Linked DNA regions of Notamacropus eugenii. The protein of the gene in region 3 purifies or fractionates together with the protein of the main gene of each other region. This does not show direct contact. Links are inferred from orthologs where the notes say so. Each region holds a gene or a part of one and is shown on either strand. Other genes may lie near its edges. The genes, in order: POLR1E, NFKB1 and NFKBIB.

What was found.
Region 1: the proteins of NFKBIB (region 3) and POLR1E purify together in Homo sapiens (affinity purification with mass spectrometry; 3 studies listed by BioGRID and IntAct, counting the BioPlex papers as one, with this or other methods). This does not show direct contact. The link is inferred for Notamacropus eugenii from reciprocal best matches to the Homo sapiens genes NFKBIB and POLR1E.
Region 2: the proteins of NFKBIB (region 3) and NFKB1 purify together in Homo sapiens (affinity purification with mass spectrometry; 7 studies listed by BioGRID and IntAct, counting the BioPlex papers as one, with this or other methods). This does not show direct contact. The link is inferred for Notamacropus eugenii from reciprocal best matches to the Homo sapiens genes NFKBIB and NFKB1.

Annotation. Positions count from the first base shown.
Region 1 is NC_092874.1:316,991,998-317,000,069, forward strand, and holds the start of POLR1E (DNA-directed RNA polymerase I subunit RPA49), read right to left. Parts: upstream 3,091-8,072; 5' UTR 2,882-3,090; coding exon 2,818-2,881; intron 1,810-2,817; coding exon 1,706-1,809; intron 1-1,705. UniProt on the Homo sapiens protein: Component of RNA polymerase I (Pol I), a DNA-dependent RNA polymerase which synthesizes ribosomal RNA precursors using the four ribonucleoside triphosphates as substrates.
Region 2 is NC_092878.1:140,834,903-140,842,201, forward strand, and holds the start of NFKB1 (nuclear factor NF-kappa-B p105 subunit), read left to right. Parts: upstream 1-4,269; 5' UTR 4,270-4,768; intron 4,769-7,299.
Region 3 is NC_092876.1:32,023,410-32,030,790, forward strand, and holds NFKBIB (NF-kappa-B inhibitor beta), read left to right. Parts: upstream 1-4,296; 5' UTR 4,297-4,434; coding exon 4,435-4,637; intron 4,638-5,037; coding exon 5,038-5,143; intron 5,144-5,259; coding exon 5,260-5,497; intron 5,498-5,934; coding exon 5,935-6,023; intron 6,024-6,455; coding exon 6,456-6,704; intron 6,705-6,889; coding exon 6,890-6,925; 3' UTR 6,926-7,042; downstream 7,043-7,381. Other genes in the region: SIRT2 (NAD-dependent protein deacetylase sirtuin-2), read right to left, coding at 567-626, 737-866, 1,361-1,429, 1,630-1,686, 1,930-2,036, 2,199-2,240, 2,563-2,679, 2,792-2,840 and 2 more; CCER2 (coiled-coil domain-containing glutamate-rich protein 2), read right to left, coding at 7,334-7,381. UniProt on the Homo sapiens protein: Inhibits NF-kappa-B by complexing with and trapping it in the cytoplasm.

The DNA.
Region 1 (8,072 bases), on a different chromosome or scaffold from region 3:
TTTTGGTCTTTCTTTCTGCAATACAGTCACTGTGTATATTATTATCCTACCTCTCATCACTTCATTCTGCATCACACATATTGATACCAATCTTCCCATACTTCTGTGTATTAGCTATTTGCAGCAATCTTTTTGTGCTAAAAACGGAAACAGAGTAGACACCTACATAAAGAGAGTGACTGAACAAAGTGTATATGAATGTAATGGAATAATAGTGTGCTGTAAGAAATAATGATTTTGAAGAAGTCAGAGGAACTTGGGAAAACAGCATGGAACAGTGGATAGGACAACGAACTCAGTTAAGAAAGGCGGGTTCAAATCCCACCTTAGACACTTATTCTATCTGACTCTACCTACCCTCTTTATACCTCAGTTTCCTTATCTGCACAAGGGGGTTAAACATGATGGCTGTTAAGGTTTTCTTATGGGTCTAAATCTATGACCCTATAACTTGAAGAAAGCCAAGAGAACAATTTAGATGATGACCACGGTAACATAAAGGAAAGCACCCCTAAAGACATCAGAACTCTTCTTCCTCGTAGCAGAGAGGGGATGGGCTACAGATCTGGATGCAGAACCAGGCGTCTGTAATCAAGGACTGAGAACTGGAAGGGAACTGCTTCATCCAACCCTCTCATTTCATAGAGAGGTGGACTTGCCCAGAATCATAGTGGTAATAAGTGACAGGGCTGGAATGTGAACCCAAGGCTTTTAAAATGCTGCACTTTTTCCATAGTGTGTGCCTGATTTGTTGATCTGATTTGTTTAACTATACTTGTTAGTGGAAAGATAAATCATTGAAAAGTGAAACATATCAAAAGCATCAACAAAATATTTATTTTTAAAATATCTGGGGATGAATGTAAAATTTTTAAAAAATCCTGTAGTACAGGATTGGAGAGCTGTGGATAAATAACAATTTCTACGAACGAGGCATCTGCTGACTACAACCTCAATTATGTCAATAACATATGACATGGTTACAATAAAAGGATCTTAGACTGTATTAACAGAAGTTAATAATCTCACTATAGTCTGTATTGATCAGAGCATGTTTGGAATTTAACTTCATTCAGTTCCAGGCAAACACTGTATGAGGGACACTGACAAACGAAAGTACATTGAGAAGGGGGGCAGAGACAATGATCAAAGAACAAAGTTATGAAAATCAACTGAAGGAACTGAAGATACTGAATTGGGGGAAAGACAGGGAAATAAGAGCTGTCTTCAATATGTGAAGGACTTTCATGTGAAAAGGGACTAAGATTCACTCTCCTTGGCCCCTGAGCAGAACCAGGACCACAGGACACAGGCAGGTTTCAGTTCAAGTAAAGACCCCTGCTAGTTTTCTTTAAAGCTCAGCTCAGAAGCCACTTCCACAGGGCCTTTCTTGCTCTTCAGATGTTGGGGCATCCTCTCTCACCCCCCAAATGACTACGAACACACTTATATGCGTACACGAGGTCTCCTCTGACGGTATTTAGTGCCTTCTAAAATCAGAGGCTGCTTCACTTTTACCTCTGCACCCCTAGCACCCAGCAGACCCAAGCACAGCATGTACCTGACTGGGACTTAAACAGCTTAGGAGCATTTTAATCAGCTCTGCCCGGTCCCCATGAGGCAAAGCTGTTCTCATTCTGGGTCAGCGCCCGCTTCCAGGCACACACCACCTTGTAAAAAAAGACAAAACTACTGAGGGACTCACCAAAATCCTCCTGAACTTCTTCCTGGGGTTGGTGGTGTCTTTGCTCTTGTACAAGGAAAAATTCACATTCTCAGCGTTGTGGAGTTTCCCATTGGAAAACTGAACTGCAATAAATGCACAGAAAATGATCAACGAAGTGGCGCTGAATGCAGAGTGGACTTCTAAAAGAGTTCCATTAATGTAATTAATAAAAACAGGAAAGCCCTTCAATCCCCAGTTCTGGGCTACAGTATCTACGAACGTCACAGAAAGCGAATCCTACCAGACCCTTCCTATGTGAGAGGTAACAAGAGAGGACGCTGGCTTTGGCTACAGAGTGAGAAGAGGATGGAGACCAAGGACTAGGGGCAAGCACAGTCATTTTAGAATATTTCCCTGGGTCCTGAGGGAGAGACCGAGGGAAGTCTGGGGACAAACAAGTGCTCTGATGGAGGACAGCTAGACAGGAGAAAGGCCAGCCAGCGCATGGGGACTAAGGGCAGGAGGGGGCACTGCAGGGGGCATCGGGTCACACGGACCCCCGAGGACAGCCTCCCTGACCGGCGCGCGGACAGACTGTAAGGCACGACCTGAAGGAGCTGTAGGTGTACTGTGCGTTTTACAGAGACGGTGTATCCACAGTGAGAAGGGGGGTGGAGAGGGAAGAGAGTTGCCCGTACGCAAACACTGGTGCATCTGCCGGGTGCGCTGAGACGGGCCCCGGGAGAGCTTCTGATGCCCGATGAAGTGGGGAGTGGGCTGTGCTCGTCCTTCGTGGCCTGACCCGCCCTTGACCCTGCTCTGAGGGGGAGGGCCGGCCGCTCACCAGCCTCACCCCCTCCACAGCCGTCCGGGCCGGTGGGCTGGTCATCCTCAGGACGCCTGGAGCCGGCCCGGCATGCACCGGGAGGCCCTGCCCTTTCACGAAGGCCCTTCGGCGGCTTGTCCGGGCGCTCGAGGCCCTCACCACCCAGCGCCTCCTGGACATGTAGGGAGCACGGAGGCCGGCGCTGGGCGAGAGCTGGTCTAAGTCATGCCTCTGGCACTACAAGCGCCGGTCCCGACGCGGGCGCGCACGGTCCTCACAGCCCCTAAGGGAGGGGGTAAAGCTGCTCTGCCGCCCCCGGCCTTACCCAGAGCAGCCTTCTGCCCTTCGCCCGGCTCCCCGCAGTACTGCCACGTTGCAAACGCAGACATGGCCGGAGCAGATCCCCCGGAACCCACGGCCACGGCTCGGTCCGCGCTCCACGGAGCTCACATGTGGAGCTTCCAGTCACCAAGCTCCCCAATCCCGCTTCCACCGGAAGAGGCGGGGCCGCGGGGCCGGAAGAACCGCCCTACCCGGGCCTTCCCCAATCCCCGCCTCCTGAAGACCTGTCGATTTAGCCTCCGCTTCTCAGCTGATTGGTTGTCTCCTCAGAAGCACCGCCTCCTAACGCCTACTGGCTGGTCTCTCCTCAATCCAGCTTCCTACGGCTGTCCGGTTCAGTCCCTCCTCCCAAGCCCCGCCCATTGAAGCCTCGGGTTCGTCATCGCCCTCTAAGCTCCGCCCCCTGAAGCCGTCGGCTCCTCCCCTTGTCCAAGCTAGTGGCTGGGCGGTCCGAGCGTCTTCGCACGCCTGGTCCGGGTCTGTTAGCTTCCACCTGCCTCAGTTTCCCTATCTGTATAATGTGGATGATAACAATAGCGTCTAGTGCTTCCTAAATGCTCCTTCTTCTTACCAGTCCCCCATGCCTCCAACACACCGTGAGCTGGAGCTGATGACAGCCCAGGTGAAGGCTGGAGCTCCTATGAGGACCATGAGGATCACTGGGGGCTGCGGACTCAATGGGCAAACAGCATCTGTCCAAGGTGCTGACAGTGATGGGGACCTCCTGACTGCAGGTCCGTACCCCCTCTGCTCTCAGGAGGGGCTGGGCAAAAATCCACTTGGTGACTTTTCAGCGTGAGCTTCACTTTCTTGTCTGGTTAGAAAAAACAAAACAAAGTGTCTTAAACAAATCACTCAGGACAGGGGTGGGAGGAGTGGAAGAAACAAATTAAATCATTCCTAAGAACGGGTGGATCAGAGAATGAATCCAAGAAACAACAGGCAATTTCATCAGAGAGAATGACAGGAACAAAAGGTTTGGGATGTAACTAAAGCAGGACTCCATAGTAAATTTATATCTAAGTCCAAAAATTAAGGAAAGACAAAGCATAGGTTGGTAAGGGGACGACTGAAAAGTAAAGAGCTAAATAACAAAGCAAATCCTGAAAATCAAAGAGCTGAACAACATGGAAAGAAGAAAAACCACCAAACCGATCGATGAAATTAGGAGCTGTTTGTAATAATAATTACAAAGTTAACTAGTTCCATTTGAAAAGAAAAAACAAAGTGCCAGCATCAAAAATGAAAAGAATTTATAAAAAATTAAGATAAAGGAAGCTATCAAAGTATTTTGTCCAATTATGGGGTCAACAGACAAATTAAATAGAAAACATTTATTAAAAAATTTAAATACTCGTTAAAAGAAGGTAACCAAGAACTTAACACATCAGAAAAAATAAATTGGACAAGCCATAAATGAACTCAAGAAACTCCTCCCGTTACTATATGTATTTACAAGTGAATTGTATCAAACATTCAAAGAATAGTTAATTCCTGTATTATATAATGTTTTTTGCAAAAAAATTGGAAATCACGTTTACTACCAAACTTTTTCTATTATTACTAATATAGTCTTGATACCTAAATCAAGAAGAGACAAAAAAGAGAGAAAACGATATAGGCTAATATCCTTAACAAATATTGATACAAAATATTAAATAAAATATCAAAGAGGCTACAATAGTATATTAAATAGATTAGATACTTGTCCAAGTTAGATTTATACCATGACTATAGGGGAGGTTCAATATTAGGAATAACATAGTTTATAATAGCTCGTATAAATAAAAATTAGTTATACCAATATGTTCTGAGAAAGTTTTTGACAAAATTCAAAGTCTATTAAAGAACAAACAGCCTCACGTATTAAAAATCACAGAAATAAATGTATCTTTCCTTAAGATAGCAAATAGTTTCTTATGTAAAACAAAGAGCCAACATTATAAGTAGTGAAGAAATTCGATAGTCCTTTACAAATAAGATCAGAGGTAAAGCACAAATGTCCAGAGACAACACTGTCATTTAATAGAGTGTCAGAAATGCTAACTATAGTGAAAACAAGAAAAAGAAATTGAGGGAAGGAACCTAGACAAATAAGAAGTTTTTGCAGAGGTATGATGCTCTATTTAGAGAACTCTAAAAGAATCAAATAAAACATTAATTGAAACAGTAATATTTTCTTGTACACCTGGCTCTGAGTGATAGGAGAGTGAGGGACACAGGAAGAAAGTGTCTGACAGTAAGCCCCAAGGGCCCTTTTCTTACAAGGTCCAAATCCAGTGGCTTTCTCTCAAACTTCTCAACTTCCTTACGGTATTTGACAATACTCACCAGCCTCTCCCAGTAAACACTCTCTCCTCTCTCAAGGTTTCTGGTACTACTCTCTCTTGCTTTTCCTCCTATCTTTTTGACTATTTCTTCTCCACTTTCTTTTCTGTATAACACTCCTTAACTATGATACTATCCTGCATTTTCTCTTTTTTCTCTGTACTTTCTCACTTGGTGACCTCATCACTGCCATGAATTTAATTATCATTTCTGTGCAGATGATTTTTATTTTTAAAATATATTTTTATTTTGTTACGCCTCCCAATTACATTTAAGATTTTAAATGTTTCTTTTACAAATACATTTTATTTCATTAAATATTTCTCAATTGCATACACAAAAATTTTGACATTCATTTTTAAAAATTTTGAGTTCTGAATTCTCTATCCCTTGAGAAAGTAAGCAATATGTTATTGATCATACATGTGAAGTCATGCAAAACATATTTCCACATTAGCCACATTGGGGAAAAAACCATACCAAAAGACAAATGAAGTGGAAAAAGGTATGCTTCAACTTATGCAGATGATTTTTAAATCTATATCCAGCACTAATCTCTTTTCTGATCTTTAAGTTGTGCATCTTTGGTTACTTATGGGAAATTTCAAACTGGCTATCCTGCAGGTATCTCAAATTCAACAAATTCCAATGAAGCTGATTCTCTTCCTCCCCCATCCCAACCACTACTCTCGGAACATCCTTATTTCTGTCAAAGGCACTATTATCTTCCCCATTAGAATGTGAGTTCCTTGAGAGCAGGAACTATCTTCCTTTTTCTGTTTCTATCCCCAGTACTTAGTGAGGTGCTTTACACATAGTAAGCATTTAACAAATGCTTATTCATTCATTGTGTCACCCAAGGTCACAACCTCAGTGCTGTCTTCCAGTTCTTACTCTCTCCACTTTATATCCAATCATTTGCCAAAATTTCTGGTTTTTACTTTCACTACATTTCTCACTTCTGTCACTTTATTTTTACTGGGGCACTGGTTCAGATTCTTGTCAACTCTTGACTGGACTATTGCAATCAACTCCATGTTGGTCTACCAGCCTCAAGCCTCTTAACCTCTCTGATCTAGCCTCTGTTCAGCTGTCAAAGTGATTTTCCTCCAGCAGGCAACTGATCATGTTACTCCTTTACTCCACAAACTTCAGGGACCTCTTATCACTTCTGAGATTAGATATAAATTTCTGTTTAGCTTTTAAAACCCTTCACAACCTGACCCCAACCTAGCTCTCCCGAATTATAATACATTACTCTCCTCATACACTCCCTCATTTCAGTCATACTCCTCCTCCAGGCCTGGAATATACTCCTTCCTCACCTCCACTTTAAAGAATATCTTGTTTCCTTCAAAAATCAACTCAAGAAGGACCTTCTACATTATACGTTTCTGATCCTCCCAACTGCTGGTATCCTTCCCAAAATTATCTTGTATTTAATTTTTATACATTTTATGCCACAGGGATTATTTGCTCTGGTTCTGTGGAAACAGACATATACTGTGACCTCTTGCTTTGCTTAAGATTGATGCATTAATTCCTTATTGGTTCCTATGACCGAGGATCATGTGAAAGAGGACTGAGAGATAAGCCAGGAAGAGCTACTCACTCTCTGGGCTAAAGGATACACGAGGAGAGGTGGCTTCCATTGAAGATAGGGAATTGGCAGAAGTTTCTTATGGAAACACAGGTTGGACAAAGGATCTCTAATGACTTCTTCCTTAACCCCATTGGTGGAACTCTTTTGTGGAGCTCCCAGGTTCTAAACCTATTGTGTAAGGTCCAATTATAAGATAATTGCTAGGTAAAAAGGGAGAGAAAAAAACAACAAAGAACAAAATCACACTGTTTCATATAAAAAAAATTGCTGCGGCCTGGCTCAATGAAACCTCACTCCAGATCAAACTTCGGATGCTGAGTTCCTGACCTAACCAGCCCTCTCCTCAAGGCTTTTATTGGGGCCTCTTCCTACAGTTGATGCCTCAATTACTTTCCATCATTTGCATAAAATTCTTTTTGATATTATGTTGTGACTCATTGCCTTCGAGTTCTCATGATTGCTGAACTCAGGTCCTTTGTAGTCAACAGCTTCAAATCCTTTTAAAAGGGACTTCTTTGCTGGAACACAACCAATTGCCAGCTCTCCCTTAGATTTCAGGAGCTAGGAAGAAGGAACGACCTTAAAAGTGGTTATGGTGGTATAACAAACATGCAACAAAGAATATGCTTGTCTGTGATTTTGAGATTGGATCTGGCTGTCTCTTCTGATTTCTGCTTTTTTTCCCTGATCACCAAATAGTGATATTAAGAGATGGATATTTCTAACTTCTTCATGAGTTTTAGAGTTTCATAATCCTTGATTTAGGTGTTCTGTTTTGTTGCTCAGAGGTAAATGATTTCCCCAGGTACATCCTTCTTAGAGGACATGCCCACAACATTGCCCTGGCTGGCCAGAATATCTGTGATTTAGTGCGGACAAAGAAACAAAGTTATTTAGTAGTTTCACAATTCTCCAAGGAATCTTCTCTACCGCCTAAGAGTATCAGATAGTGGTGATATGATATGTTATAGTTTATATTTGTCAACCTCTAATTTGTGTCTGGCCAGAGCCAAACAGAGTAGGCTAGGGATACGAAAGTCAAGAATCAAACAGAAGTTTAATTTCAAAGTGAGGGAAATGGCTTGCTAGCAAAGAGGCAGATTAGATACGTGTAAGGTCCCCATCCATAGTGGGGGGGACCCAAGGCTACACAGTGACCTATAGCCTTGACCATGAGGGGTAACAATGAGACAAGTTTGATCCATAGTAGAGCTTCATGACCAGAACATGTATAGTTGTCTGGTGTTGTTCTGTACTCAGAGAACACCTGGTGCTGGTCAAAGCAATACAATAAATCTGAGATTTTG
Region 2 (7,299 bases), on a different chromosome or scaffold from region 3:
AGGAGAGGCAACATGAAGATATAAACAGGATAAATACATGAAGATATATACAGGATAAATTAGAGATACTCAAATAGGTGATAGGCACTAGAATTAAGGGGAATCTAGAAAGGCTTCTTGGAGAAAGTGTTTTTATAGCTGAGACTTGAAGGAAGCCAGGAGGCAAGAGGGGACGAGGGACAGAGTCCCGGACAGAAGATAACCAGTGAAATACATAGAGTTGAGAGATGGAGTGCCTTGCTCATGGAAGAGCAAGGTGGTCAGTGTCACTGGATCAAAGATTATGTGAGTGAGAATCAGCTTGTAAGAAGACTAGAGAGGCAAGAGGTGGTGAAGGGATCTGAATGCCAAACAGGGCTTCTTCTATTTGACAGGGGGTCACTGTTATTTATTGAAAGGGGTGGGATGTGGTCAGACCTACTCTTTAGGATAGTTTGACAGCTAAGTGGAGGATGGACTGTACTGATGAGAGACCAACCAGCAGGCTCTTACAGGTCTGGGTGTGGGCTGAAAAAAGCCTACACCAGAGTGATCAGAAGAGAGAAAGGGGACATATATGAGAGATGGGAAAATTGAAAGGACTCGAGAACCGATTTGATATAGCGGGGGGGAGGGGATGAGAGAGAGCGAAGAGTGAGGGATTATACCCCTAGGCTGTGAGCCTGAGGGACTGGGAGGAGTAGTTGGGAAAAGGTAAAGAGTTCAGTTTGGGTCATGTTGATATTAAAAACAGACTCCTCTACCTCTTCCCAATCTTAAAGTTCTAACCAAGTCTGTTCCTGTTCTGAAGGATGCAACATGCTCTAAACACCTTAGTACAGAAAAAGTGGCTACTATACTTTGAATCCAAGGACTAAATCCACCTTCTGTCATCTATAAGCCCCACCTACTTCCCCAGGTTCTTTTTCATGACTCATCTTTTGGTGCCCTTCCCACCTCTCCCCTCCCTAACCCCAGAAGGGTGACATTTCATGAGTAAGCTTATGATAGAAAAAAGACTTCATGAATATATTAATAACAACATGCTTTCTATCAACCCATAAGAGAAGGTTATTTTCTCCCATGGGGATTTACACAAATATTAAGCAATTTCCTTAGAAGTAGAACTTTTCCTGAGAATAAAATGAGTAGAGTTCTTCAATGCAACAAGTTTAAAAGCCCCACACTGGGCAATGAAGGAGATACAGTTTAGATAAGACACAGTCCTTGTTCTCATGAAATCCACAGTTTTGGTAGGGAGGCATGACTAGTACACAGATAGGTATAATACAAAACAATAAGTAACAAGGGCATCAAATTTGTGTAAAACAAAGTGATTGGTAAAGTCCTGGAAATGAGGAATAGTCCTTACTGACTTGGTGGAATCAAAGAAAACTTTGTAGAGGAAATAACATTTGAGTCATAAACTTTATAGAACTCAAAAGTGGGACAACACATTTATAAAATTTAAATGTTTGGTCCTTGTGCGGTTACATTCATCCCTCAAACACAAATAAACTAAACTTATCTTTTCCCTCAGCTGCCATAAAACCTCCTCTTACCTTCAACTCCCTTCCCTCACTTTTCCATGAAATGTTCTGTTTTGGGAAGCTTCATCTTCCAGCCCCCTCCTTCAGCTGTAACAATCAGAAGCAGTCCTGGGTGTATTTGAGATTCAGGAGTCACAGAGAGCTAATCACTTTGTTAGAGTGGGAATCAGAAAATGAGAGTCAGAATTAAATCCCAAGAAGTCCTTAATTTCCAGGCCTCTTTGCCAAGATCTTTCCACAAGAGGGAACTGCTACCAGTCCAGTCATTTAGATCTTGGTCATCATTGCCTTATGATGACTAGATTGGTTAAAAAGACATGGTACCAAATGAACTCTTCTTTCTGTGTTGGTGGAGTGGAGCAAGGGTGAAGGTAGCATTAAGAGGGAAGCGGGAAGACTTCTTGTATGAATTCTAGAAGCCTGGTTAGGAAAAAAAAAATCTATGATCTCTGTTTCTTGCTAGGATAGCTTTTCTAGGGATGATGACAATTATAGTTCTTTTGTTTTATTTTGAATTACAGATAAAAATAATTTTTAATATTCATTTTAAAAAATTGAGTTAAAAATTCTTTCTCTCCCTCCTTTCCCTCCTCCTTTAGAAAGCAAGCAATTTACTATAGATTATACATGTGCAGTCATGCAAAATATATTTCCATATTAGCTATGTTCCAAAGAAGGCAAGGAAAAAACCTAAGTCTTAAAAAATTTTAAAACTCAAGTTTTTTAAAAAAGTGTGCTTTGATCTGTATTCGAACTCCAGTAGCTCTTTCTCTGGAGGTGGATAGCATTTTTTGTCCTAAGTCCTTCAGAATTGTCTTGGATCATTGCATTGCTGAGGATAGCTAAGTCATTCAGAGTTGATCATCATACAATACTGTTGTTACCATGTATGATTTTCTCCTAGTTCTGTTCACTTCACTTTGCATCAGTTCATATACCTCTTTCAGATTTTTCTGAAATAATCCTGCTCTTCATTTCTCATAGTATAATAGTATTTTATCACAATCATACCACAACTTGTTCAGCCATTCCCCAACTGATGGGCATCACTTCAGTTTCCACTTCTCGGCCACCACATAAGAGCTGCTATAAATAATTTTGTCCATAAAGGTCCTTTTCCTTTTTCTTTGATCTCTTCAGGATACAGACCCAGTAGGGGTATTGCTTGATCAAAGGATAGACATAGTTTTATAACTTTTTGGTCTGTTGTCCAGAATGGCTGGATCAGTTCACAACTCCACCAAGAGTTAGGCTATTATTCGTCAATGAATCTGTGATCTCCCCATCCACTATCCACATCTCACCTGGACTGACTTTTTCCCAGGCTTTGCCAAAGGCCCCCCTGCAGAAGGACCACCCGAAGTATTTCAGGCCTCCTCTAGCTAAGTCCCAACATTTGGTAGTACACATGAAGCATACTGCCTCTCTAAAATATGAGTTCATGCAAAGGATATTGAAGAAATGCATGGCAGGTATATTTAGGTTATATAGCATAATGCGTCTGATCATTTGCAAAAGAGGCCACCGAAGAATCTCAAAGATCACTTGCTCCGGATAGGAAGACCTGGGTTCGAATCCCCTTTTATTACTTATGCTATTTGTGTGACACTAGGCAAATGGCACCTTCCGGGGACTAAATGGCAAATCACATTTATACATAAAACTTAAGCCTCATATTACATCATAATTTCATTGGATCTTCACAGCACCAGGTATTGTATAAAGGTATTGTACTCTGCTGCTTCTGCAGCCCCTTTCAGGTATCAAGAGTCCTACACATCCTCAGAAAAAGGAGGTCTGGGCTGGTCATCTAACACGCTGTGACTATTGAGAAGGCATAATGGTAGAGTGGTGATAGAACTGGGTTTGGAACCCAAAATGCTTACCACTTACGAGACTTTGGGCAAGAAACTATCTCTCTGAGCCTCAGTTTGCTTATCTGTATAGTAGGAGAAACACTATTCACATCACCTCCTGGGGCTTCAGGCTTGAATGAGGCAATGTTTGTGTAGGAAAGCAGCGTGTCAAAGCCCTAGGTTGAGGTTTTTAATACATGCTTTTAATAAACATCCCAATAGGGGAATCATTACAGACAGAATTTAAGGTGAAGAATCTTTTTTGAGGGAGAGGTCACAAACAGAAGATTCAAATCCTCTATTTGTTATAAAGTGAATTATTATTAAAAATAATAGTTTTATATTTAATTTTATATTTCTATGTCATTTTATGTTTATATAGGGCTTTACAGTTAATAAAACGCTTTACACATATATTATTTGATCCTAACAAGCACCGTTGCAGGTAGGCGCTATTGTTACAGATGTAGAAACTGAGGCAGACTTGGGGACGATTTGAAATCGAGTCAGGCTTGCTCAGCCACCGCGCACAACCACAGTAATAACGTAAGCGTGGGGGACCCTTCCTCGATCCCCGGGGTCTCCCAGCAGGTGCTCAGCGGACCCCGCCCAGGTACCGCAGCCTGAGCCGCGGGATCCCAGCCCCGCAGCTGGCCCGGGGCCTCCAAGCGCCGGCTCCAGCAGACGAGGCCAAGGGATCGGAACAAGGCGCGCGCCGCCGAGTCCAAGTCCCTCCTCCCGTCCCTGACGTTGCGCTCCGGGCAAGGGGTGTAGGAGCGGAGGCCGGAGAGGGGCGCCGAGGCGACCCCGGTCCCCAGTCTCCAGCCCTGCCCCCCAGGAGATCGGGCTTCCCCCGCCCCCGGACTGGGAGTGTGTGTGCAAGTGTGTGAGTGTGTGTACGCGTCTGGCCTTGCTCGCTCTCTCCGGCTCAACGTCAGTGGGAATTTCCAGCCAGGAAGTGAGAGAGTGAACGAGAGAAAGAGAGAGAAGTGCGCCCGGCAGCTGCGAGCAGGAAGGGGAGGTTTCGCCACCCGAGGGCCAGGGGACGCGCTGACAGCTTCCCCCTTTCCCCTTCCCGTCGCTCGGTCCCGCCCGCCCGCCGTCCAGTCGGCCGCCCGAGCTGCTCCGGGGACAGCGCACGAGTGAGCGAGCCGGGACGGGCCAGGGCGCTCGGGTTGCGGCACCCCTAGCCTCCCCGGCCCGGGCTGCGGGCCATGCGCTGTGCTGCCCGCTGCTAGGCTCCGCGGGGCTGACCCACGCGCGCAGCCCGCCGCCTCCTCTGCCTCCTCTGCCTCCTCCGGCCAGCCCCCCACTGCTGCTCACCGGATCCGAGCGGGGAGCCAGGACGAGCTGGGAGGCCCTGGACAGCAGCTCCCCCAAAGGGTAAGACCAAAGTTGGGGCCGAGGGAGCGGGGAGGCTCTTCCTGGAGGGAAGGGGCAGACAAGTAAGTGCGAGTCCCCCCACACTGGCCGATCCCCACCCCGCCATCCCCCCGAGTCTAGACTTCCTCATTCCTGCCCGACCCGCTGGAGGAGGTTGACACCAGTTGCGAGGTGCAAGGGATTGGTGAAAGAGGAGGAAAAAGGCAGTCAGGGACTGGGGGTGGTGCAAATCGGCTCAGGGGAGCCCGGGGCCATGTGGTTTGGTCAATTGTATTTTTTCCCCCAACCCATTTCACCTCCTCCAACCTTTCGAAAAGATGAAAATATCTGGGCGTCTTGGACTGCTGAGGAGACTTAATTTTTCTTTTGGGGAGGTTTAGTCTGGAGGGAAGGGAATGACTAAGGGCGTACGTTTGTGTGTATGGGGGGGGAGGGTATTTTGAGTGAAGTGCTGAATCTGATTTCTATCCAAGGACGTTTTACGAAATGAAGGCTACCGATTTTCTTTATTTGAAAACCCTCTAGTTTCCAAGTCTTAACTATCTGCCATCCTCTAACTGAAAATGGGCCCATTCTTGATCGGGATCTCTGGTTATCTTTTCAGAAATATTAAGTCCATAGGGGCATTCCAAGACCCCCCGAAAGGCATTCTGAAAAAAAGGAGGGAGTGGGGGTTCTTAGTAAACTCTCTAAATCAAGTGCTGAGTCCGATGGTTAGTTCGTCATCCAAAAAAATCATGGTGGTGCTGGCATATATGCAGGGTGTCCCCAAAATCGGAGTGCAGTTATAACTTTTAATAACCATAATTTAAGCTAACGCTGCATAACGATAGTTTAAGTTATTAAAGGTTTAAGACTCGTCTCTCAAGTATGATCTTTTTATAGTGAAATTAATTTGCACTCTGAGTGTTCTGTTTCACATTTGAAATAGCCTGGATATCAAATCTAGTTGTTCGTTTGTTTTTAGAGTATCTTGAAGGTTCAATAGAAACTACCAGTTTAGGGCTTAAGTTCAATTAATGGATTTATATCAAATTAGCTGATTCCAAATCTTGGTCTATTTCCTATGGTAAGTCTAGGAATATAACATGAAGGTGGCAGTTGAATCATTTACTATATTAGAATAAGCCAGTGATCTTCTCAGAAGCCTGCTCTTCCCCACTGTTTGGGAAGCAAGGTACTCCCAGTTGGTGTAACATTGTTACTTTTGGTAGTTACTGAACTTCCTGAGTAAGACACTGTTGTTTGCCTGTTTGTCCTTTAGAATGAAAACTTGATCAGAATGCAAGGACTCAGCTGAAGTATGTTGTTAAGACTTAATTTTACAATTCTTCACATCCTGTTATTTGAAGTTAGTTATTTTTAAAGTACCTACCGCATATGTCAGCCTCTTAAGACAGAAAGATAGTCATTCCCTTCAAGGAGCTCACAATATAATGGAGAAAATAATACTTAAATAGAAGCTGAAAATTGGAGGGTATGGTGAGGCAGGGCGTTCTGAAGCATGGTGGTGCCCTGGGCAGTGGGGGAGGATCTGGGAGGAGGTCTTCTATGTCCGTCCTCTACCTTCAGCAGTTAGAACCCCTCCTGGACTTGGGGTTATTTCAGAAGACTTGAGCTTCAGAGTTGATTCCATCTTTCCTGAAAATGAGTTCCTGGAAATGATGATGAAGTCCAGGAGAACAGCTTGGTGGTAAATGATGAGGTAGCTGCCCAATTCCAGACCAGTTGAATTGTTTAAACTGTCTTCTCTATAATGTCTACTCTATATGTACTCTGATATAGAGTTGAATAATTAACTTGAGCCTAGTGTGTTTGGAAAGAAAGAATTTTGGAAGAGAAATTGATTATATGTTATGTTTGTTTTTCATGAGTACATACAACTGAATTGCTGAAATGCAAAGAACGTATGTACTGGGAAGAGACTTTTCTTGAAATGCTCAGTCAAATAGATTTTATTTATAATTATCTACTCAATATTGATAGACCTTCAACTCAAATTTATTTGGCAAAATGTCCACCTGAACTATGGAGAGCTTCAGTCAGAAAGACAGTTTCATATGAAAGAAGGTCTACCTTCAACAAGTATACAAATGCAATGAATGAATGAAAAAGCATTTATTTAAATCGTGACTAAAATAATGTGAGTTCTGAGTTCTTAGCAAAAATCTTTGGTAACGTCTTTTAAAAATGTTTTTTATCCTCAGAATCATTTTTGGAGACAGAAATCACAGATGTTATAGCTGGAAGGGACCTTAGAAATCATATCGTCTAACCCTCTCATTTTACAGATGAGAAAAGTGAGGTCCACGTAGGTTGTGATTTGTCTAAGCTCATGGCAAATGAAAGGCAGAGCTAGAACTGAGGTTTTACTCTTCTCTGATTGTTTTCTCTACTTCTGTATTGTTAAGGTTACTTCCAAAACTTTCATCTTTTGTTTTTTTAAATATCTGTTTTGTTTTTTAAATCACTTTTTACATGTGAATTACTCTGCCCAAGTATTTACCACAAGCCAAAGCAGCCTTTATTTT
Region 3 (7,381 bases):
AGGAGAGACCGAGAGACAGAAACGGAGGAGAGACAGACAGAGGAGAGACAGACGGAGGAGAGACAGAGATGGAGAGACAGAGACAGAGGAGAGACAGATGGAGGAGAGACAGAGATGGAGAGACAGAGACAGAGGAGAGACAGATGGAGGAGAGACAGACAGAGGAGAGACAGATGGAAGAGAGAGAGATGGAGGAGAGACAGAGACAGAGAGAGACAGATGGAGGAGAGACAGACAGAGGAGAGAGAGATGGAGGACAGACAGATGGAGGAGAGACAGAGATGGAAAGACAGAGACAGAAGGACAAGGAGAGGAAGATGGGAGAGAGGGGAGGTACAGACAGAGAGACAAAGACAGAAAGAGAAAGAACCTAAGATTAGGGAGACAGGGGAGGGGGTTGGTCCCCAGGTGCCAGAAGGAGAGCAAGGGGATGACAGCCAGGGGCTCCTGAGCCCTGACCAGTCAAGAGCTCTCGAACTTGATCTAGGGAGGGAAGGGATATTTTTGCTGTTTCCCGTGACTGTTGACCTCCTTCAAGGCCCCCTCTTCCCTTTCCCATGGTTCACCTGGTTTCACGAGACTCTGGCATTTGTCACACTTGGGGGTCACCTCTGAGAAGATCTTATCTGGGGGAGAAAACATGAGGTAAGGAATGATGGGATTGGAGGCCAGGGGAGGAGAGTAGCATTCCCTTCCTCAGGGCCCCTCCCCCTGCCCTCAGGGACCCAAGCCTCACCTTTCATCCAGCCCAGGTCATACTCTTTGTGGCAGTGGGAGCTGATACAGTGAGAGGTATAGAATGTTCCATGGGCTTCAACCAGGTCCTCTGGTTCCAGCCCAGCCACCCGCTCCAGTGTGTCGATGTTCTGGGGGAGAGGGAAGAGGAAGCAGTCAGTTAGAGCGTCTCCTCCTTATCCCCCTACTAGACTTGAAACTCCCTGAGGGGAGGGGCTCTGAAATTGGAACTGTGCATTTGCCCAGGTGTGTAACCCAGCTTTCCGCCACAGCGTCTGAAAATTATTTATTGAAATTAAACTAAATCGAAAGTTCACATCAGAATGGATGGAAAGAAAATCTGACTAGGGTAAGAAAGAATTGGCTAGTCATCAATTTAACGTTCGAACACAGAGATATCATAGAACATGTTTGTTCTTTCCAAAAATAAAACTCAAAAGTATTTATAAAGGACAAATGAAGTCAAATGATGCACTGTGGTTATTTTGGGGAAGAATTATATTTTTGGTGCCACTGCCCATCTGGGGGGCTGCCCACTGGGTCTGGCAAGGCAGACTTGCCTCTGTAGGACACAGCCTGTAGAGTGTGGGCATTTCATCCTCCCCCCTTCCCTGGCTGCCCTCACCTGGGTATAGCAGCGAAGCAGTAGGCCCTTCTCCTTGAGCAGGCGCATGAAGTAATGACACACGGTGGGCTACAGAGGGGTGGAGGGGAGTGAGGGCCAAGGGGTACACACACATTGTCTTTGATGTGGTTAGACAACTGGGACTTTCCCAGTTTCTTCTCCCACCCATTGTGGGGAGCAGCCCACCCCCCCCAAGCCCAGATGGGGAAGCCCTGACTCTGTCCCCCAATTGTGTACCTTTCCTTTCCTTTTCCTCTGATTAAGCTCACCTTAAATTGCCCTGGGTACAGCTCCCGGGCCAGAGCAAAGAAGGGCTCAGGGTGTTTCTGGGGAAAACAGACAAAGACAGATGAAGATACGTGAACCCTTCACTCCTTACAATCCCCTACCCAGGATCAGCAGCCCAGATTTGGGGGGCCCACTAGTGATATTTGATAAGATGAAGGATTTAGCTGCAGGATCTGCCCTGCTAGTGTTTGAAAGCATGAAGGCTCAGGAAAGGGAAGGGTTCTCCCTCCAAGGAGTCTGTGAAAACTTGAAAAGTGGGGTGTTCTTAATGACAGTTTTACCTTAAAGTAGCTGATCTCAAAGATGGCTTCAGGGTAGGGAAGGTTGTACTTCTCCAAGTTGGCATAGAGGCCGGTGGACGGGGAGCGGAAGTCAGGGATGCCAGCAGCTGGGGACAAGGGTAATAGAAGAGGCATCCCTGGGGGAGGCCACCTCACTGGTGAGAGGGGCCTTATCCCAACCCCTAGGTTAGCTCCTTTGGGGATCTGGCCCCCCTTCTCCATTCTGGGGGGAGTTTGGAACCTGAGGGCACAGGGAAGCAGCTACTTACATGTAGAGATCCCTGCCCCTACCATGCAGATGATATTCTGACCTGGAAGAGAAAAAAGGTGAGGGGAGAGACCTCAAGACCAGAGCAGTTTGGGGTTGTTTCTCTAGTCTCATTCCCTGGAAGGACAACTTCCCTACCCGGACTGCTTTGGCCCTGTGGAATCCTAAGGTGAGTCCCACCCTTTAGTCCTGAGTTCTCACCTGGTCTGGATGTGTCTCACTGGGTTTCCTGAGGAATGGGTAAGGGGAGGGAGAGAAGTGGTCCCAACCCGGGACATGGGAGCTGAGGTTGGGTGGATGGGGTAAGGCACATCCTGTAGACAACCTGAGCTAAGAAAAGGAGATGGGGAGAAGCAAGAACTCACATTGGTCACTCTGGATGAACTTGGTCACCCCTTCCAAGGAAAGTTCATCCAACAACTTTTCTCGCTTCCCGCTGCCCAGGCCCAGGGTTCGGGAGAAGAGATTCCGTAAAAAGTCCACTGTGGGGCAGACCAGAGGATGATGTTATGCAGGAAGAGGGCAGGCACTGGTCCCAACTAGGCTTCAGCCAGTCTTGTCCCCCCCCCCAGTTCACCACCCAGGACAACTTACTCTCTGTCTCTCCAGATGCAGCTCCACTCTCAGTTTCTGAATCTGAGTCCTGGGAGAAAACGGCCAGAGAGGGAGGAGGGTCAAGGGGGGCTCCAGAGGGTTGGCGCTTGGGGAGGACGATCACGGGAGGAGGGTTGGGAAAGGGGAGTCAGTGGAAAGAGGGTCAGAGGGAAGGTGGGTCATTAGAAAGGAGAGCCAGAGAGGGAAGCGGAGGGGCACAGTTTGGGGAAAGGAGGTCAAAGGAGGGAAGGGTAGGTGGGGAAGGAGGGGGTTAGGGTCCTCGGAATGGGGGATGGGCGGGCGGATCTGCTGTTTCAGGGCTGGGGGCGGGGTGAATAAGCCCTGTGGATCTGGGACACGGGGCGACCCACTCCCTGGGGGAAAGCCGGGGAGAGCCATGAGTGATGGGAGCAGGCGGGGGAGGCGCGGATCCTCTCACGGGCCAATCATAGACGTCCTCTCCCTCCCCTAGCGGCCAATCACAGACCTCGTCCCCTCCCCGGCCAGCCAATCACGAACGTCCAAGGGCGCCCCCTCTCACCTGAGCATCCTGCACCTTCCCTGCCTCGTCCTGAGGGGGACCGGGGGCTAGGGAAGGGGGGTAGGGAGACAGGGTTACATTGGAGGGGGGGTGGGAGGCCGTTAGCGTGGGGGCGGCGGCGGGAGCGAGAAGCGGGGAGGGGGACCCCAACTGGCCACGGGCAGGGGTGCAGAGGGGCCCTTAGCAACCAGGTACCAGGCTTCCCAGAGGTCACGGTCCTTGGTAACCAGATCCACTCCACCACATACCCCGCAGCAGCCGCGGCACCTGTTTCCTTCCACCCTAAAACGAGGCCCTTAGGTACTGGACACCCCAGGAATTAGGACCCCCCATCTTGGCTCCCAACCAGCCTTAGCCGGCGCTGCGGAGACTGGGGCCCCCAGGGCCCAACCCATTCTCCTCCCCGCAACCCTAGATCGGGGCCCCACGCGGTGGTTTCCGGGTGGCGAGTCCCCATAGCCGTTCGCCCAGAGGGCCTGGTCCTAGGCCCGGCCCAAGAGCCCACCCGTGCCCCGACTCACGGTCCGCCTCGGCCATGGGCCCGGCCCCGGGGATGGGTTCAGCAGCGTGGGGGGCGGGCAGGGGCCCTCGGGGCTGTCACCGACTGCTCCGTCCCGTGACGGCGCAGGACACGGGCGGGGGCGGGGGCAGGCAGGGCGGGCTATGGACTACAATTCCCAGAAGAGCATGTGGCCATCGCGGGAATCCCACAATGCCCCGCGCCGTCTTTCCGCCGTGTTGAAGGCCGGCGTGACCCACCGCTCACAGAGAAACCACGATTCCCAGTGTGCCTGGCGCCGGAAGCCGTCCGGGTAAAGCGGGACTGAGGGCGGATACACGAGCCGAGCCGACCAAATGCGTCTATTGCCTCTATTGGACAACTTGGTGCGAGGGGCGGAGCCCTGCCGGAAAGGTTGCGCGATCTTATTGGCAGTCATCTCTAAAAAGGGCGGTGCGACCCTCCCTGATTGGTCGAAGCGCTGAGCGAGTTGGGGAGCAGGGGGAATTCCCCGGGTCCGCGGAATCCCCGGGCCGGCGGCTGTGGCGACCAAGACTCTGGATGGACCGGGGGGGCCCGGGACGGGAGGGCTCTGCGTAGGCCATGGCGGCCCCGGCGGGGCCCGTGAAGTCCGGGGACAGCGGGCTCGCGGAGGAGTGGTGCGACAGCGGGCTCGGGTCTCTAGGGCCCGATGGGCTCGGGCCCCCGGCGGACGGGCCGCGGGACAGGACGGAGGAGGACGAGGACGAAGAGCCAGCTAGCTGGGCGCCCGAGGTGTTCGGCTACGTGACGGACGACGGGGACACGTAAGGGGCCGGCCCGCTGCCCCTGCCCCTGCCCCCAAGGCTCTCCCCTTCCCAGGGTCGTGGAAAGGTGGAGGGGGGATCCCCGCCCCTTACCGGAGGGGAAACCGAGGGAGGGAGGGGAGGTGTGAAGGCAGGGCTAGGAGGCCCCGGGGGTCCTCAGGCCATCACCTGGGACAGGGGACGTTGAGTTATGGCTTGGATTAGTTTTCCTGCTCCTACATTCTGTCCCTCTCCAAACCTCCTGGCCTCTGACCCCTGACCCCGCCTGACCCCCTTCTTTTCCCTTTGAACGGTGACTCTTTTAGGGAGCTTAATTTCCTTCTCCCCTGCTGCCCCGCAACGGGGCCTCGAAGGTGGCCCGACCCCCACCTCCCTGACCCTCTGTGTCCCCCCTGCCCAGGGCCTTGCACTTGGCAGTGATTCACCAGCACGAAGCCTTCCTGGACTTCCTGCTTCACTTCACGGCAGGTACTGAATACCTGGATCTCCAGAATGACCTGGGCCAGGTGAGGTCCTTCCCCTACCTGTGGATGGGGCCGGCAGGGCCAGGAAGAGGCCCTCCCAACCCCCCACCCCCAGGACTGACTGGCTTCTGCTTGCACTTGTGTTCCTCTGTCCACAGACGGCTCTGCACATAGCGGCCATTCTGGGGGAGGCAGCCCTCACTCAGAAGCTGCGGGCCGCAGGGGCCGGGCTCTGTGTGGCAGAGCGAGGTGGGCACACGCCCCTGCACCTGGCCTGCAGGGCTGGGGCTCATGCCTGTGCCCGGGCCCTTTTGGGGCCCCTTGAGGGCCAGACAGCCCAGGAGGAGGAGGAGGAGCAGGAGAGACGGGAGCAGCTGGAGTGCACCAACTACCAGGGTATGGCCCAGCCAATGCTTCTCCCCACTGTCATGGACGCAGCCTGATTCCTGGGGGCTGGAAGCATCTCCCAACAAGGGGGATGCAAACAGTAGCCATGGCTACGTGGACATAGGAGTGACTCTGCCTCTGGCACTGTGCCAAGGGCTTTCCCAGCATTATCTGATTTGATCTTCCCAACAACCCAGTGGAGTAGGTGTCATCACTTTCCCCTGCTTTCCCCGTTTTACAGATGAGACAAATGAGTTCAGGAACTAGCCCAGGGACAGTCCACACAGGCAAGTGAGTGTCTGAGGCTGGATTTGAACTTAGGGCCAGATCCCCACTAAATGCATATTCTCCCATTTCCTTTGAGTATGCTCATTTGCCTTAAATGCTTTCTAAATGTATTCCCTAAAGGCCTTCTAAATCTTTGTTTCTCTAAAATAACTCCACAGGCCACACTCCGCTCCATGTGGCTGTGATCCACAGGGACACAGAGATGGTTCAGCTGCTCCGGGAAGCAGGGGCAGATCTCAACAAACCAGTAAGGATACAGAACCCTGTCTGCCCTCAACTCCCAGGCCCTCCTCCCTTTTCCCATGCTGCTGTTCCCCTCCTTCCATGTATCTGTTCTGTGAGATTCTTTTCCGCACCCCCAGCTCCTTTCTCTAGATTGGGGGAGTCTAAATGAGGGAGATTACTGCTTTCCTCTGAGAGGGAGCTATAAAACAGACATCGACCCACAGTGGGCAGAGGGGCTTCTTTGAGACAAGCGGGGTCCCCTTCAGATCATACATGGTCTGAAAAACAAGGTGAGTTAGGCATGAAGATACCAGGTCCTTCAAATGGGGGACAGGCCTAACCTCTAGGAAGAGACTGTTGTCAGCAGTAGTGACTAGGGATAGATGAGGGGGTGGGGGCTGGGGCTCCAGAAAGGGGGGACATGTCCTTTACATGCACTCTCTTTCCCAATCAGGAGCCCACGTGTGGGCGGAGTCCCCTCCACCTGGCTGTGGAGGCAGAGGCAGCTGAGGTCCTGGAGCTACTCTTGGATGGCGGCGCAGACCCCAAGGCCCAAATGTATGGAGGCCGTACCCCGCTGGGTAGTGCCACGCTGAGGTCAGACCCCCTCCTCGCCCGTCTCCTGCGTGCTCATGGAGCCCCGGAACCTGAGTCTGAGGAAGAGGAAGACTCCAGCCCGAGAGGCAGCGATACTGATGAAGGTGTAAGTGACCTGGGGGAGTTCAGCCAGTGAGAAACTTGGATGAATGGGATGGAAGAAGAGAGAGCACTGGGGAAGGGTGGTCTGGTAACTGATCGTTCCAGAAGGGGAGGGTTGATGGGAGATGGGGAACTTGGGGGGAGGCCCAGGATGAAGGAGAATCAATTCCTGACTCCACTATCCTCTAGGATGAGTATGATGACATCGTGGTCCACGGAAGCTGAAGTGGAAACTGAGGCACACCTTCCTCACCTGCTGGCTATCTCTAGCCAATTTCTTTGCTTTTTTTTTTTTTTTTTTGTAGAAAAGCTTTAATTTCAATAAAACTCTCATTCCCCTGGCTGGAGTGTCCAGGGATCTGTTGGGGCCAGAGCATCTGAATTCAGAAACAGACCAATGGGAGGAAAGGCATGCTTTTATCTGTGCTTTATTTACGTTGGGGGAGAGGGGAGCAGGTGGGGCAGAAATCTCTGACCCCCCCCCCAGTCTGTTTTCTTGGTGACCCTCTCTTGCTCCCTCCCCCCACCACCTGGAGAGGGGCTGATCAAGAAGGGCAGGAACCAGTCCGTAGCCCAGTTTTCTGAGATGAGCGAGGGTGGGTGGGGCAGGTGCCTGGCATTCACATTTGCTTCTCAGCCCCTCCTGCCCAGTGCCTCGGCTGCCTTCTTCAGCTCCTCCCC